4 linked regions of the Saccharomyces cerevisiae S288C genome follow. The protein of the gene in region 4 interacts with the protein of the main gene of each other region in a biochemical or structural test. Each region holds a gene or a part of one and is shown on either strand. Other genes may lie near its edges.

Region 1 (3,938 bases), on a different chromosome or scaffold from region 4:
CGGCCGTATTAGACCATCTCTTATATTGCTTCCAAACCACACTAATGAATAAGGGGCCCGTAGAGCCCATGATTGTCATATATGGAATGTACCAGTTTTTCTTATAGTGTTTCAACGATTTGATGACCTTCAAGAAGAAGGGGTGCCTTGGAACAGAGCCCATCACATCATTTGACACTCCTGTAGGCGAAGTTTTCCTTAGAAATGCTGGTACTTTCAACAAAGGGTCTAGCCTTCTTTCACAACCATCATCCAAGTCAATGTAAATACCACCATAATGCGAAAGGATGAAATACCGTATTGCATCCGCCCTCTCAATTGGATATTCATAACTCCTAAAGGTGTCAAGAAACCACGGGTATTCCTGTTTAATGAAAGTATCAGACATTTCATCCGTCCATAAAATGTAAGTGTAATCCGGATGTAAATCAATGCACTTCTGCCTCCCTTTTACCCACTGTTCTGGGATATCGTTTGTTTTGTAGGTTTGATGAATGATTTTCGGTATGAGTTGAGGAGGAGACTCATAGAATGTTGAATTGAAGCCATTGGGGGGGTTCAGCTGTTCATCTGTTAGCGCATCTTTGGAAGTATCATCTATACATAACGTCAACAAATCAAATGTGTAATGTATTATAGAGATAAGTAATGCAATGTTCGCTATTATAAGAATTTTCAACTCCTTCTTCATCACGTATTAATTGGTTTACTGTAACTACTTTAGCACTGTTGTAAGGTGCACCGCTTCGCACTGCCTTGTTCGGTTGTTGAAATTATATTATATACGGTCAGCGCTCCTTGAGGAAGCTAATAAAAATCGTGTTGCGATGTAAATAATGAAGGAAATAAAAACAATACCCGTCTCGGTTATTCAACGGTGACAATGAAACTCTTCAAAATTCAAAGAGCAATGAATTTGCGGAGGTCAAAAACAAGAACAGAGAAAAAAACCAAGGGCGAGTCAGATGCGAAACGGCTTTAAACAAGCGAACTCCTTATAGTCAAAGAAGTTCAATTGAGGCCCCAGCATACAATGCGTTATTTCGTTTTGTTTTTCGTTTGTCTTTTTCCTCTTCGCTTTTTTTTTTTTTTTTTTTTTTTTCATTTTCTTTGATAATACGACCTCGGTAAATACGTCATGGAACACGCCCAGCTTTTAACCCCTGAAAAGCTCTCACTTTTACTTTCGCGTATAACTGAATGTTCCGTATATGACGATGAATATATTTTCTGATGGAGTTACCCATCATAATGTTGAAACTGAGTATATTGTATTCACTATATACTTTACTAGGCTATAATGACAGTGCAGTAGCATTTGTAATATAATAGCGAAATAGATTATAATGCTTATGATTCTTGGAAGTAGGGGTGGATGGCTGCTCTTCTGGCGCTAATCCGGTTAATAGGGTCATACGCGAGGAGTTTGTCCAACAAATCAATACCGCGTGGATCTAGACTTGGTACCACTTGTGATAGGTCTTTTCTGCGCCATTGAGGAAAGCTTGGCTTGAAATCAGGCAAGTAGACAATATCTGGCCATATAGCTTCATTCGGCGTTCCCAATACTCTGAATATCTTGAAAATCTGATCGATCTCACTATCGCCACTGAAGATTGGTTTCCTGTTACACATTTCGGCAAATATACAGCCGATGGACCATGTATCGACACCTGTACTATATTGTTTTCCACCCAGTAATACCTCCGGAGCTCTATACCATAGAGTAACAATTTCATGTGTGTAAGCTCTCAACGGAACACCAAAAGCACGCGCTAAGCCAAAATCACCTAGTTTTAGATTCCCATCTTTGTTAATCAATAAGTTCTGCGGTTTTAAATCACGATGCAGAATACGGTGTGAGTGGCAGTATGCAATACCCTTACAAAGTTGCATCATAAACTTCTTAACAATATCAGCTCCTAACGGTTGGTCCTTTGGAATACCCTCCATATATCTTTTCAGGTCCAAATCGAGGAACTCAAAAACAAGATATAGCTTGTGTGCATCAGAGTGAACAATATCGTATAATCTGACAATATTATCGTCTTTTAATTCCTTCAATAATGAGATTTCTCTGATGGCTGTACTGGGAACACCCTCGTCTTCACTCTCTAGTCTTATTTTCTTCAATGCGACTACTCTTTGACCTTGGCCAGGTCTTAAGTCTAACGCTTTATAAACAACACCGTATGTACCTTCACCGACTTTCTCAAGTCTTTTGTAATTTGCTAATTCACCGCTCATGTTCGAAGGATAGTTCTATTTGATCTGGGCTATTTTCCACTGTAGCTGATGTGCTGGCTTGAATATTTTTTCCAATATGATATTCTGGAAAAGCAGTATTAAATTTTCTTTCAAGAGGACTTGGTCCTTCCACCAATTTTTTTTTTTGAGTTCTTGTTGTTTTCCAAATTTTTCTCTTTTTTTCTCATTTAGGTTCGTTTTTATTTTTGGCGTTTGTTGCCCTAATAAGGCCATATATGTATATATTGGTACATAAGCAAGTATAATACATAAGCCATGCTTTTCTTGTAAATATATATATATATATATATATATGTATTGTATAAAAACTATCTCGAGAACGATAATTCTATTCCTTTTTAACCTGTCTTGCGGCTTTTTTTAAGGCTCTAATTCTGATAGATTTATGGAAGGAATAATTAATGGAGTTAACAATCTTAGAGTAAACGCCAAAGGTCTCTGTAATTACAAATTGATACACTGCGTGCGCCCAGTAAGGGGTCATAGTAGCGTATCTTTCTTGAGAGCCGCAGCGTCTGCCAACGCTTCTTAAAGTGGATTTTACAAACTGTTGTGGATTTGGGATCATTAAAGATGATCTTCTGATTTTAGACATCGAGCTAGTGACCAAATATGAAATGATTAATTCAACATCGATAGCATCTTTAGATAATTCCCCAGCCAAAGAGTTAGACCAACCTTGTAAGAATGATTTCGAACCACTGTATGTAGCCAAAAGTGGGGTGGGAATCAGACCACCAAATGAGCCCATGGTTAAGATCAAACCACGAGTACCCGACTTCTTGTTTTCAGCTTTCACAGTTTCCACAATCTTTGGTGCAATGATTTGTGTAATTAATAATGTAGCAGTGTTATTGATAGTGATAATATTTCTAAGCTCCTTCTCTTCTGTTTCCAAAAATGGAACAGGAATGGAGTGTGATTGACCAACATTATTGACCAAAACGGTGATTGGTAACTGCGCACACAATTCCTTAATGGATTCATAGTTGGATTCTTTATCCTCCGCAATGTCAATGGCTAGAATCTTTACAACGACATGATGTTGATCTTCTAGTTCTTTTTGTAAAGCCTCCAATTTAGATTGCGTTCTCGAGATCAATACCAAGTTGAAGCCACGTTTCGCCATTTGTCTAGCAAATTCTTTACCAATACCGTCACTTGCACCAGTGATAGCACAGTATTTACCAGTTTTAGCACCATACTTGTCGAAATTGACTGCTGGTAGTAAAAAAAGATCAAAAATAAGAGCTAAAAATCTAAGTGATAACGTTGTACATTTTAAGACACCAAGCCCAAAAACAACCCATAAAAGACCATTGATACACCTAAATCTTTCCCCAGCCTCTTGAAGCTGTTGCATAAAAGTCATTTCTTAAGCTGCACCGACACGAATTGATTGCTTTGAAGACTGTTCTTCTATCTGTGTTTCCTTCAGTCTCTTTTGAAGTTGCATTTCTGCAACGCTTTTATTCGTGAAATCTCTAAAAAAGCGAAAAATAAAAAGGCCTCCCGCGGACTTAAAACAGAACATCCGAAACATTACAAAAGGCCCCTACAATTATCTCTATAAAGGACTTCCAAATCCGAGACATTGATTCGTCTTAACACTATGAGTGTATCTTTTGGAGAATTCTGTAGTTCAATAGTTTTCTGTGAAGGAATTCTGG
Region 2 (2,507 bases), on a different chromosome or scaffold from region 4:
TACATTGTAATAGAGGCAAACATAGAACGGGGTGTTTGATTGGTTGTATAAGAAAACTACAAAATTGGTCGCTAACGATGATTTTTGATGAGTACAGACGTTTCGCATTTCCGAAGGCCAGGGCGCTTGATCAGCAGTTCATCGAGATGTATGACGATGACGAAATTAAGAGGATTGCTAGTAAAAACAACTGGTTGCCTCTACAATGGTAATATGTAGACAGTGATTACCTTTACGTAACTAGTCTCTTCGAAAATGATGTTTATTGATAATTATTATACATGGTTTCTTGCCGGTTATAAAATTACGTATACTATCTAAGCATCTAAAAATTAGCCCCGCAATTATGTCTGTAAACGATAAATTACAGCATATATACCCTCCTCATGTCGTTAAAAGCATTGCGAATAGATAGATGAATAATGTATTAAAAAAGGAGATGTTTGTATGATGTCCCCCCAGTCTAAATGCATAGAAAAAAAAAAATTCCCGCTTTATATTCATGATCTTTCACCTCTTAGTCTTCTGGCCAATTTGATATCCTTCTTTTGGATAGTAACACGCTTAGCGTGAATAGCAGCCAGATTAGTGTCTTCAAACAAAGAGACTAAGTATGCTTCGACGGATTCTTGCAAAGCACCGATAGCAGAAGATTGAAATCTCAAGTCGGTCTTGAAATCTTGAGCGATTTCTCTGACCAATCTTTGGAAAGGTAACTTTCTGATCAACAGTTCAGTAGATTTTTGGAATCTTCTAATTTCTCTCAAGGCAACAGTACCTGGCTTATATCTGTGAGGCTTCTTAACACCACCGGTAGATGGGGCGGATTTTCTGGCAGCCTTGGAGGCTAATTGTTTTCTTGGGGCTTTACCACCAGTGGATTTTCTAGCTGTTTGTTTAGTTCTGGCCATTGTGGAGTGTTTGCTTGGATCCTTTAGTAAAAGGGGAAGAACAGTTGGAAGGGCCAAAGTGGAAGTCACAAAACAGTGGTCCTATATAAAAGAACAAGAAAAAGATTATTTATATACAACTGCGGTCACAAGAAGCAACGCGAGAGAGCACAACACGCTGTTATCACGCAAACTATGTTTTGACACCGAGCCATAGCCGTGATTGTGCGTCACATTGGGCGATAATGAACGCTAAATGACCAACTCCCATCCGTAGGAGCCCCTTAGGGCGTGCCAATAGTTTCACGCGCTTAATGCGAAGTGCTCGGAACGGACAACTGTGGTCGTTTGGCACCGGGAAAGTGGTACTAGACCGAGAGTTTCGCATTTGTATGGCAGGACGTTCTGGGAGCTTCGCGTCTCAAGCTTTTTCGGGCGCGAAATGCAGACCAGACCAGAACAAAACAACTGACAAGAAGGCGTTTAATTTAATATGTTGTTCACTCGCGCCTGGGCTGTTGTTATTCGGCTAGATACATACGTGTTTGTGCGTATGTAGTTATATCATATATAAGTATATTAGGATGAGGCGGTGAAAGAGATTTTTTTTTTTTCGCTTAATTTATTCTTTTCTCTATCTTTTTTCCTACATCTTGTTCAAAAGAGTAGCAAAAACAACAATCAATACAATAAAATAATGTCCGGTAGAGGTAAAGGTGGTAAAGGTCTAGGAAAAGGTGGTGCCAAGCGTCACAGAAAGATTCTAAGAGATAACATTCAAGGTATCACTAAGCCAGCTATCAGAAGATTAGCTAGAAGAGGTGGTGTCAAGCGTATTTCTGGTTTGATCTACGAAGAAGTCAGAGCCGTCTTGAAATCCTTCTTGGAATCCGTCATCAGGGACTCTGTTACTTACACTGAACACGCCAAGAGAAAGACTGTTACTTCTTTGGATGTTGTTTATGCTTTGAAGAGACAAGGTAGAACCTTATATGGTTTCGGTGGTTAAACAATCGGTGGTTAAACAATCGGTGTTTGAAATTATTTTCATGCCTTTCAAAAAATAAAATAACGATCATTCTATTGGGAATATAATAGAACCTTATGTATGCATTTTTCGGTTTTTTATTATTTCATGTACTATATATATTAAAAATAAGTCTCAATAAAAGAAACTAGTTTCCGAACTGTCTTAGATAGTCTTCCCTTATGTGCTCCTCCATTTCATTGCCGTTGAGTGCTTCGACGTGGCGTTCGTGTCCCCTCTGTTGGTTAAGCAGATTTACCCAAATATTTACGCAGAAACCCATGGAATCCTCAATTTCACGCTTTTTCTTGGGACATCTGCACCTGCAGCCACACCCAAATTCCCTTCCCTCGTCGTAGGCCGCGTTTTTACGTTTGAATTTTGAGTCACTGGCTAAGTAGGAGAATTCCTCATTCCCCATGGCATTATGTGGACAATGCTGTATTGTGGAGTGTCTATATCCGATGTCTCTAAAATAGTGTACATCGTCCAAATCCAGAGTTAGCGACAATCCAATAGAGTGAACAGGAGCGTCCCCCCATCTTTCCTTCCAAAATCCACCACTTTTCTCCAAATATTGAAAAAAACTG
Region 3 (3,984 bases), on a different chromosome or scaffold from region 4:
TTTTCTTAATGATGATGGCGTCTGTCTGACAGTATCATTTGTTTTGACTTTCGATTGAATCCGCGCAGAAATGTTGTCGTCAATAACATTTCTTGTTTCACCCCTCACTGGGGTCGCCATGTTGATAATTAGAGGTTAAAAATTAGTATTAATGAAGAAGTGAGTACTGATCTTCTTATACTAAATAAGAGAGGTATATAAAACACACGCCGATTGGTCATATTAATTATGACCAATATAATAGTGATTCCGGTAGTTACTATACATTGATGTGACGACTCATATTCCTCATATATGTACCTACCATAACATGTTCAACTAATAGGTCTTTAACACAGCTTCAGTATTGTCTGAGCTTCTCGTTTAACATTCCTTCTGCAATAGGCGCAATCACACTTAAACGTATACGAGTTGTACATTAATATACGATGTAAGCATTAGATTGTTACCATAGCAACTCATGTCACTATTAATTACTCTCGTTCCAACATGATAATATAACTATTAGTTGATAGACGATAGTGGATTTTTATTCCAACATGTTCGTTCTGTTATGAAGTTGTTTCATATGTGTTTTATGAACTTTTAGGATGACGTATTGTCATACTGACGTATCTCACTTTGATAAACAACAATATCAATAATATTAGGGCGTGTGGCGTAGTCGGTAGCGCGCTCCCTTAGCATGGGAGAGGTCTCCGGTTCGATTCCGGACTCGTCCAATTTCTTTTTGTTCTCAACGACAATAATAAGAAAATCAACTTAAATGGAAAATATTACTGCCTTTTATTTTTTACGTAGCTGTTGCCCTAACCCGACTTTATCTTATGTCTGTTATTTTTTTATTTATACATTTTATAAAGTGTACCTCTCTTGCAGGTACCATTAATCTTATAACCCATAAATTCTTAATTCGTTGAACGTGCCGCATCCTTTGGAGTGGATTCAATATCCGTGGACCCCCCTTCTATTTTCCTCCTCTTCTTATCATTACCATCTTCATTCTTGTCTACAGACCCCACCTCTTCTTCTCCTTCTTCCTCATCGCCGTCACTATTTTCTATGTCTTCCTCCTCTTCTTCAAGATTCGTTTCGTTGTCTTCAGTCTTCTCTTCCTCCTCTTCTTCCTCCTCTGCCGCTTCTTCCGCCTCTCCCTCTCCATCTTCTTGATCGTCATCTTCGTCGTCTTCATCATCTTCATCGTCATCTTCTTCTTCATCGTCCTCCTCCTCTTCATCATCTACGCCGGGCTGTTCAGGTGGGTATAAATCCCCTTCATTTTCATTATCCCAAACAATGTTAAACCTTGTTACCCTTGGCTTTTCAGCCAGTATATTTCTTACAATATGATCTACTTGTACCTTTGCTGGCGGATTTTCTCTTAACTCTTCTTCATCGTACTCATTATTCACGTAGTAACCGACCCTAACAAACTCTCTCCCGTCATAAGAACAACTTAATAGAATAACAGTCACACTAACCAATTCACTCGCAGGAATCAGCTCGGCGGAGGGAGGGTCAGCAGAAAACACAAATTTATTAACACCTACGGGAACGGGGCCTACCAGAATGGAATCCAATTCCTGGTCATGGTCTAGAGAACGAGAGGACCCAACATAGGTTAGTTTCCACTCTAAGTCATGTTTTAAAGATTCTAAGCATTCAAAAGTGATTTCAAACTCATATGGATCAGTGAACTTTGCCGGGTTGTTTAAGACTTTGATGCCTAACAGTGAAACAATTGACATCTTTTCTATATCTTATGTTTCAATTGGATGGTAGGGAGAGTACGCTGTTACACTTTCGAGATTCTGTGAGCCTCTTACCTGTTTGGAGTTATTCCAAGTGTTAGTATTAAAATTGCAAGATTCATTTTTCCATCGTCGGTTGTACGCCCATTACATGAAAAAGGGAACAGATTTACGCGTTTAGGATGAGAAAAAAAAAAAAAGGAAAAAACGCGTAAATGAAAAGTTCTTTGTAGAACAGCTCTCTCTTAAACACATAGTAACAGCAAAAGACGCCACCAAGACAATATCCTGAAAATCGAAATTCTCGCCAAGGCATTACCATCCCATGTAAGAACGGAATAAAACAGCATTCGAAGGTTAGGTGTGGCACAAAGCCGATAAGAAAAAGAAAAGTAGTGAGGACAGGCTTAATTGAGCTAATTAAGGCGAAAAAAGGAAAAGAACTCGATAGAAAAACTTATTCATGAAGGAGACGTAAAGTCAGGCAAGGCTGCGGCATCATGTCTACTTGTCATAACTCAATTTGCCTATTTCTTACGGCTTCTCATAAAACGTCCCACACTATTCAGGGGAAGGCTACACGGAAACCCCAATAAAGGAAACGAAGAAGTGACCTTAGCCTTCGTCATCCGCGCCCACTACTCTCTTCCTAGTCGCCCGGTTGTTGAAAGTTTAATTGTGGGTTTTCTTTCACGACACACCTCACTGAAAAAAGAAACGAGCGGAGGAATAGTATGATAAATCTTCAGCATAGATGGGTAACGGGATCCCTCTGTGAGGGCCGATTATGCAGGCCTAGACCCGCACGTGACCACTTCGAGAGCAAGTTGCCTGCGAGTTTCTCTGCCCGAGGAAAAAGAAATGGAGGCAATTTACTTAATATGGTATGAGAGGATCTTTTGACGGCAAATAGATGCGCCATCTCCGAGAAAAAATCTAGACAATAACAGCGACAATTAACCTAAAGAGGATAGAAGATCGAGCAAAAAAATTTTTTTAATATGGGGTCAGTGGCGATATTATACTATAGGAGTTAAAGAGTAAGTTGAGTGTAAGGTGGTAGAATTATGATTGAACTCCGAAACTAAGCGCCGATTATGGGTGGCAAAGCGGACAGCTTTTGATATATAATCGATCGCTCTCGTAGTTGATATCCTCTCTCTTGCTTATCTTTTCCTGTATATAGTATATGTGTACATACAGATACGAATATACCTCAGTTAGTTTGTTTTAACATTAAATATTCAACAGTTGCCAGTAGCAAAAAGAATATATCCATTCATTTCGAGCTTTTTCGTCTCATTACTGATATCCAACTAACAGTCTCCTCATAGACGGTACCTTACTTTCCTTTAATATTATAATACTAGTATAGTCGCACATACTTAACTCGTCTCTCTCTAACACATAATGAAAATTTCCGCAGCTTTAATATTGTCTTCCCTTTCTTCTGTCGCATTTTCTGCCCCTGCACCTGCTCCAGCGGACAGTCACCATGAAGATCATCACAAAGATGAAAAACCAGCGGTTGTCACTGTCACTCAATACATAGATTCCAATGCCGCTACTAGTACTGTAGAATCTGCTGCTACTACCACTACATTGTCCTCATCTGAGAAGGATACCTCTGAACAGAAGCGTGATGGCGGATTCCAAGATGGTACTGTCAAATGTTCGGACTTCCCTTCTGTAAACGGTATAGTTTCCTTGGACTGGCTAGGATTTGGTGGATGGGCCTCTGTCATGGACATGGATGCCAACACTTCGTCCGAATGTAAGGATGGCTACTACTGTTCTTATGCATGTGAACCTGGAATGTCAAAGACTCAATGGCCTTCTGACCAACCAAGCGATGGTAAATCTGTTGGTGGTCTTTACTGTAAAAATGGTTACTTGTACCGTACCAACACTGATACCAGCGATTTATGTTCTACGGATGAAACATCTGCTAAGGCCATTAACAAAAAGTCTGACTCCATTGCTCTATGTAGGACGGATTACCCAGGATCAGAAAACATGGTGATTCCCACAGTGGTTGATGGTGGAGATTCACAACCAATTTCAGTCGTTGATGAAGACACTTATTATCAATGGCAGGGTAAAAAGACTTCTGCTCAGTACTATATTAACAACGCCGGTGTATCTGCAGAAGATGGGTGCATTTGGGGTACTTCTGGTTCGGATGTCGGCAACTGGGCTCCACTAGTGTTAGGTGCTGGTTCCACTAATGGAG
Region 4 (4,561 bases):
TACCTCTCTGGCCAACTTTAAGGATTCAGAATTAACAAGATCAACGTTAGCTGGAGAGACGGCCAAGATTAAACAATTTGGAGTGGCTATATAGTCTAGGATCAAATTCTTGATTTGCTTTTCAATATCAGGTGGTTGTTCCCCAATAGGAACCTTTGTAATCCCAGGCAAATCTACTAGCGTTAGATTCAAAACATGAGGGGAAAACACTTTCAAATTAATCGGAATCTTACTGATGCCCTTATCCTTACCGGCTATCCTCGCTGTTTCGTTTTCGATTTCTCTTTTGATATCGTCGAAATCATAAAACCGTTTTCCTGGTATATGCAGGAATTCCCCCCACTCATCTGCATGATTTCTTTCCTTGCCCCTATACTCCAAGGGCTTCGTACCAGCTTCGAATCCTGATATTTTTGTAACTTCATCATGTGGATTAACTGAGTTATCATCTTCCTCTATTAGAGGAGAATTTGGAGATATGTTATTAAGTTGAAGAACTAACGGTCTTCTTGTGACAATACCAGTACCCCTAGGTAAAAAATCTCTTCCAACTAACGTTTCCAATATCGAGGATTTCCCGGAGGATTGTGACCCAACAACAGCTAAAATGGGCAAATCGAGTGTATCGATCCCGGAGTCGTACATAACATCCTGCAGCTTGTTGACAGTAGGAATAAGATCTTCTAAACTAGCCATTCTTTATCCGTCGTATTTAGATTCGCTGGTAGCTACTTAATGATAAACTCTTTAGCAAATTGTGGCCAACCTGAGCAGTAGAGTAAAGGTAATATTTCATCCTACCCTCTTATTTATTGTTCCCACACTTTGTTTTGCCCGACCTTACAGGCGTGCACCGCGTAGTAAAAGTTGAGGACCTATCATTACCTAGAAAGGTGGCGATCAAGGTACTAACAATAAATACAAACATGCATTTTCTAAGATCGATGCTACATACGTGTACTAAATAATAAATATCAATATGTATCAAGTTTTAGGCAAGGCTTTAGCTTTTTTACGCGGTTTTAGCATTGTTATCGCCAACGTGTTGATGTTGCTTGCAGGAACCGGCTGATTTCTCTCCCGATGCTCCCTCTTCCCTGTTAAAGATTGAAGATTTGTTGCCATTCTGAGCAATAGAAAATCACGAATATTGGTGAAAGCTTCTATTGCGCCTTCCTCTGTATCGTATTCCTCTCCAGTAATGTACTTCTTGATTGCCCTAAACTGCTTCCTTGACTTCGGTACAATAACATCGGCACTAGATGGAAATAAAGATGGAGTGGCAAGAGAGTATCCCGAAATACCCATTACAGATGATGTGACACTTAATTTGAACTCTTGACGCTCTTGTAGTTCAATCCAGAAGGATGATAAGCTTACTTTGAGGAGGCGATCTTCCTCTGCCAATTGGTGTATAAATCTAGCCTTAGGATCGTCTGGGAATAATGGAATATTATATACCGCAAGAGAATTTTCTTTAGAGGTAAATATATCACCCACTTGCCATAGTGGATATTTCATCCCTCTTAGGTATGATCTTACTCGAGCAGGATCTTCGCCCGGTATCCTTAATTTTGCTTGTGTATCATTTTGAAAGCATTCAATTAGTAATCTATCCAAAATAAAGCCCCACCATTTCATTAGTTCCTCGCCATTTAGTATATGCTTTTTGCTGTTTTTTGAAGAATCTGGGAAGAGGTACTGGGATGCAGGTCTAGTAAATAAACAAATTTTGGTCAAAATCTCACGAGGACAGGTGAATGAGAGATAAAGATCTTGTTGAAAACGTGGAGATTCTATTTCTTTCAAAACGGTGCTGCCTGACTGTTTAAGCCTTCTAGCCAAAATCCTTAAAGTTCTTGCTGGCGTACTGGCTGCGCTAATCAGCTCGGGGGATATCTTCTTATATGATCTTATTGCCGGTTTTACTTTTTGAAGATAGTAATTCGGGTCGATTGATAATATAAATTCTAATATTATTTTTGTAATATCTCTAACGCTTACCCTCGTATTACAATAACCATTAGTGTCTGCCTTTGATACAAATATTAACCGTTCGGCATCTGCTTCATCCCAAAGCGTGACATACACATACACTTCTAATGAAAAAAAAACTTTTCCTTGGTGAAATAGACTAAAGAAGTGTTGAGTCTTGATCGTGCTTTTTGGGACCCTTTTGTCGTCCTTATTTGGGGTTACGACAGCATGGGTTTCTAACGGAATAGATTGCAACGATAAGTATTCAAATTGTTCACTGACAGGTAGCACGGAACTTAGGAAGTCATTCAGTGACATGTCTTATTGAAGACCGGTTGAATTGACCTTTTAACTCTACTGGACAACTCTATTGACAAACTGTAGTTTGTTAAGTAATGCGTTATGGCGTCCATTTTCCATTATAGCTTACAACGCGAACACGAAAAGTATAGTATGTTGTGATGTTTTCATAGACCTGGAGAATATTATTAGTAATTGTATGCATCTCAGAAGCAAGAAAGGTTACGACTACATATGCACACATACATACGTACATAATATATATATCTATTGACGTTTACGACTTAACGGGGATTTATCATGCTCTCTTATATAATCCATATCTTGATCGATTTTAGGAGAATTGGCGCTTAGGCTAAAAGGTACAGCGGGTATTCTGCCAAAATCAATATGGTCAACTTTGGATGGCATGTTTCTAGTGGTACGCCTAGGAGAATACCTTAGAGGTTTTCCTCGCGTCGGAGATCCGTTTAAGCCTGTCGTACTTTCAAGGTTGATCTGTTTTTTAGCTGTAGAATCAAGAACACTGGAAGATTTCACCGGACTTGGTATGGCTCTTCTTGCCCTGCTATAATGCGACTTCATCGCTTCCATTCTGTGCTGCTTTATTCTTTCTGAGCCTGGTATGGTTGAGGCGTTTTGAGAGTCTGATCTTATGGGAGTTTTTAGTTCATGTTTAAGATTGAAGTCCTTCCTTCTCTTTGGAGAACTGTCTGAACGATTTTTCCATAATAATAACAATCCCCTTACAGTGGCCCTGTCCCACCGATGACGAAACACCTCGACTGTCTCATCATTACGCTTAATTTTTAGGAATCGAAGACTCCACATTTTCAAGAATTTGGATGTAATTATGAATTGTTTATTAGCTTCCGATTGTTCCAATAATGTACTCATATAAAATATTTCGTCTAGATGAGTTTTCCAAATATAAAACGTCTTGACTAACACAAATTCTTCGCGAACTTCGTCTGCTAATTCTTCTGATTTTACTATCTCTAAAAGTCTTTCTCTAAATTTCTTCAGCACCATTTTTTCAAGCTGGTAGTTTCTCTTTGAAATAGCCTGAATGTTACATTCTTCTGTGTAGAAGCAAAATCTATTTCGCCAAGCGTTGAACAGTTGGCTTTGAAGTTCGCGCTCTTTACTCTTTTCATAAACGTGTAAAATATCGTTTAACTTATGCCTGACTTTGAACCTTGTGGCTTTCCGCCACTTTAAAAAGGCCTTAGAAAGCTTTACTCTATCCATAGAGGGCGCCAGTTTCGTATATAGCAAATGAACATTATCAATATGCATTAGCGTCCGTTTTACAGTCAAAATTGCATGTGTCTTACATAAGAAATTGTATCTATCCTCCAATTCCTTAGTTTTAATCAGGCGTTCTTTCCATATAGCTAGACACTCATTTACGAGACCCTCTTCGTAAAATTTGGATGCTTCGTCATTCATAGAATTCATTTGTAGCATCCTCCTTTTCCACACACCAAGATATTTTGCACAAAATGCCGTTTTAACATGTTCGCTCGATATTTTCCCATACTGTATTCTTTTCCTCCATGTACGATACGCGCTTGCTTGAATACTCTTTTTACATTTCTGCTCAAATATTTTTAACTTTACTTCAAGTTTCCAACTTCGCAATGATGACTTGAGCAAATTAGTCCTCGAATAATCGCTTGCTTTGAGGTCAATATATAGAAGTTTTTTCCATGAATGAAAAATACGCTTCACGAGGTTAGCCTCTTTTAGACTTACAATTGAATACAAATGCAGATGGTCTTCGAATCTTTTCAGCCACATCTTCTCAAAAACGCACCTCAAAAGTGTCTGATTTAGTTTACTCTTTGCAATTGCCTCTTGTTGACTATGTTGAAATGACCGGTTTAATTTGCGAAAAAACTTTTGTTTGATGAATTTATTCTCCAGTTCATAAAGTGCCCCAAGTTTATCTTCGTTTTCAATGTTTTTCTTTTCCCATTTATTCAGATATTTTCTTTGTAGAGAAAACGACCTCACTTTTTCTGCAATGCTCTTATTGTATTCATAGTTTATAACTTTCTGTTTTATTCTTTCGAAAATCCTTCTTTCCAACCCGTGGTAGTTTATTTCTTTATGTCTTAGCTTCCATATATGAAATGTTGTTCGTAAAAATATCTTCTTAATGTTGTCAGTGTTAACAGTTTCTAAGTGTTTCCAATGCTCTTGTGCCTTTAAAATTTTCCTAAACATCTTATTCAAAAAGGCCTGATCTGCTAACCTTGACTGCTCCTTAAGAGTTTGT

Evidence for each region.
Region 1: of the proteins of RTT109 (region 4) and CDC28, one has a biochemical effect on the other in vitro, tested with the Saccharomyces cerevisiae proteins (2 studies listed by BioGRID).
Region 2: of the proteins of RTT109 (region 4) and HHT2, one has a biochemical effect on the other in vitro, tested with the Saccharomyces cerevisiae proteins (9 studies listed by BioGRID, with this or other methods).
Region 3: the proteins of RTT109 (region 4) and ASF1 are reported together in a solved structure, tested with the Saccharomyces cerevisiae proteins (3 studies listed by BioGRID, with this or other methods).

The regions. Positions count from the first base shown.
Region 1 is NC_001134.8:558,387-562,324, reverse strand, and holds CDC28 (cyclin-dependent serine/threonine-protein kinase CDC28), read right to left. Parts: upstream 2,248-3,938; coding exon 1,351-2,247; downstream 1-1,350. Other genes in the region: mannosylinositol phosphorylceramide synthase catalytic subunit CSH1, read right to left, coding at 1-691; IFA38 (ketoreductase), read right to left, coding at 2,597-3,640. UniProt on the Saccharomyces cerevisiae protein: Cyclin-dependent kinase that acts as a master regulator of the mitotic and meiotic cell cycles. Required to drive the G1-S transition. More than 200 substrates have been identified. Substrate specificity is in part regulated by the bound cyclin protein.
Region 2 is NC_001146.8:575,140-577,646, forward strand, and holds HHT2 (histone H3), read right to left. Parts: upstream 912-2,507; coding exon 501-911; downstream 1-500. Other genes in the region: putative tyrosine protein phosphatase SIW14, read left to right, coding at 1-212; HHF2 (histone H4), read left to right, coding at 1,588-1,899; KTR5 (putative mannosyltransferase), read right to left, coding at 2,066-2,507. UniProt on the Saccharomyces cerevisiae protein: Core component of nucleosome. Nucleosomes wrap and compact DNA into chromatin, limiting DNA accessibility to the cellular machineries which require DNA as a template.
Region 3 is NC_001142.9:194,051-198,034, reverse strand, and holds ASF1 (nucleosome assembly factor ASF1), read right to left. Parts: upstream 1,749-3,984; coding exon 909-1,748; downstream 1-908. Other genes in the region: YJL114W (gag protein), read right to left, coding at 1-120; SUN family protein NCA3, read left to right, coding at 3,162-3,984. UniProt on the Saccharomyces cerevisiae protein: Histone chaperone that facilitates histone deposition and histone exchange and removal during nucleosome assembly and disassembly. Facilitates histone deposition through both replication-dependent and replication-independent chromatin assembly pathways.
Region 4 is NC_001144.5:144,025-148,585, reverse strand, and holds RTT109 (H3 histone acetyltransferase RTT109), read right to left. Parts: upstream 2,296-4,561; coding exon 985-2,295; downstream 1-984. Other genes in the region: dynamin-related GTPase DNM1, read right to left, coding at 1-696; SFI1 (Sfi1p), read right to left, coding at 2,545-4,561. UniProt on the Saccharomyces cerevisiae protein: Histone chaperone-dependent acetylase that modifies 'Lys-9', 'Lys-14', 'Lys-23', 'Lys-27', and 'Lys-56' on histone H3 (H3K9Ac, H3K14Ac and H3K23Ac, H3K27Ac, and H3K56Ac) to promote nucleosome assembly, genomic stability, DNA repair and transcriptional regulation during mitotic S-phase.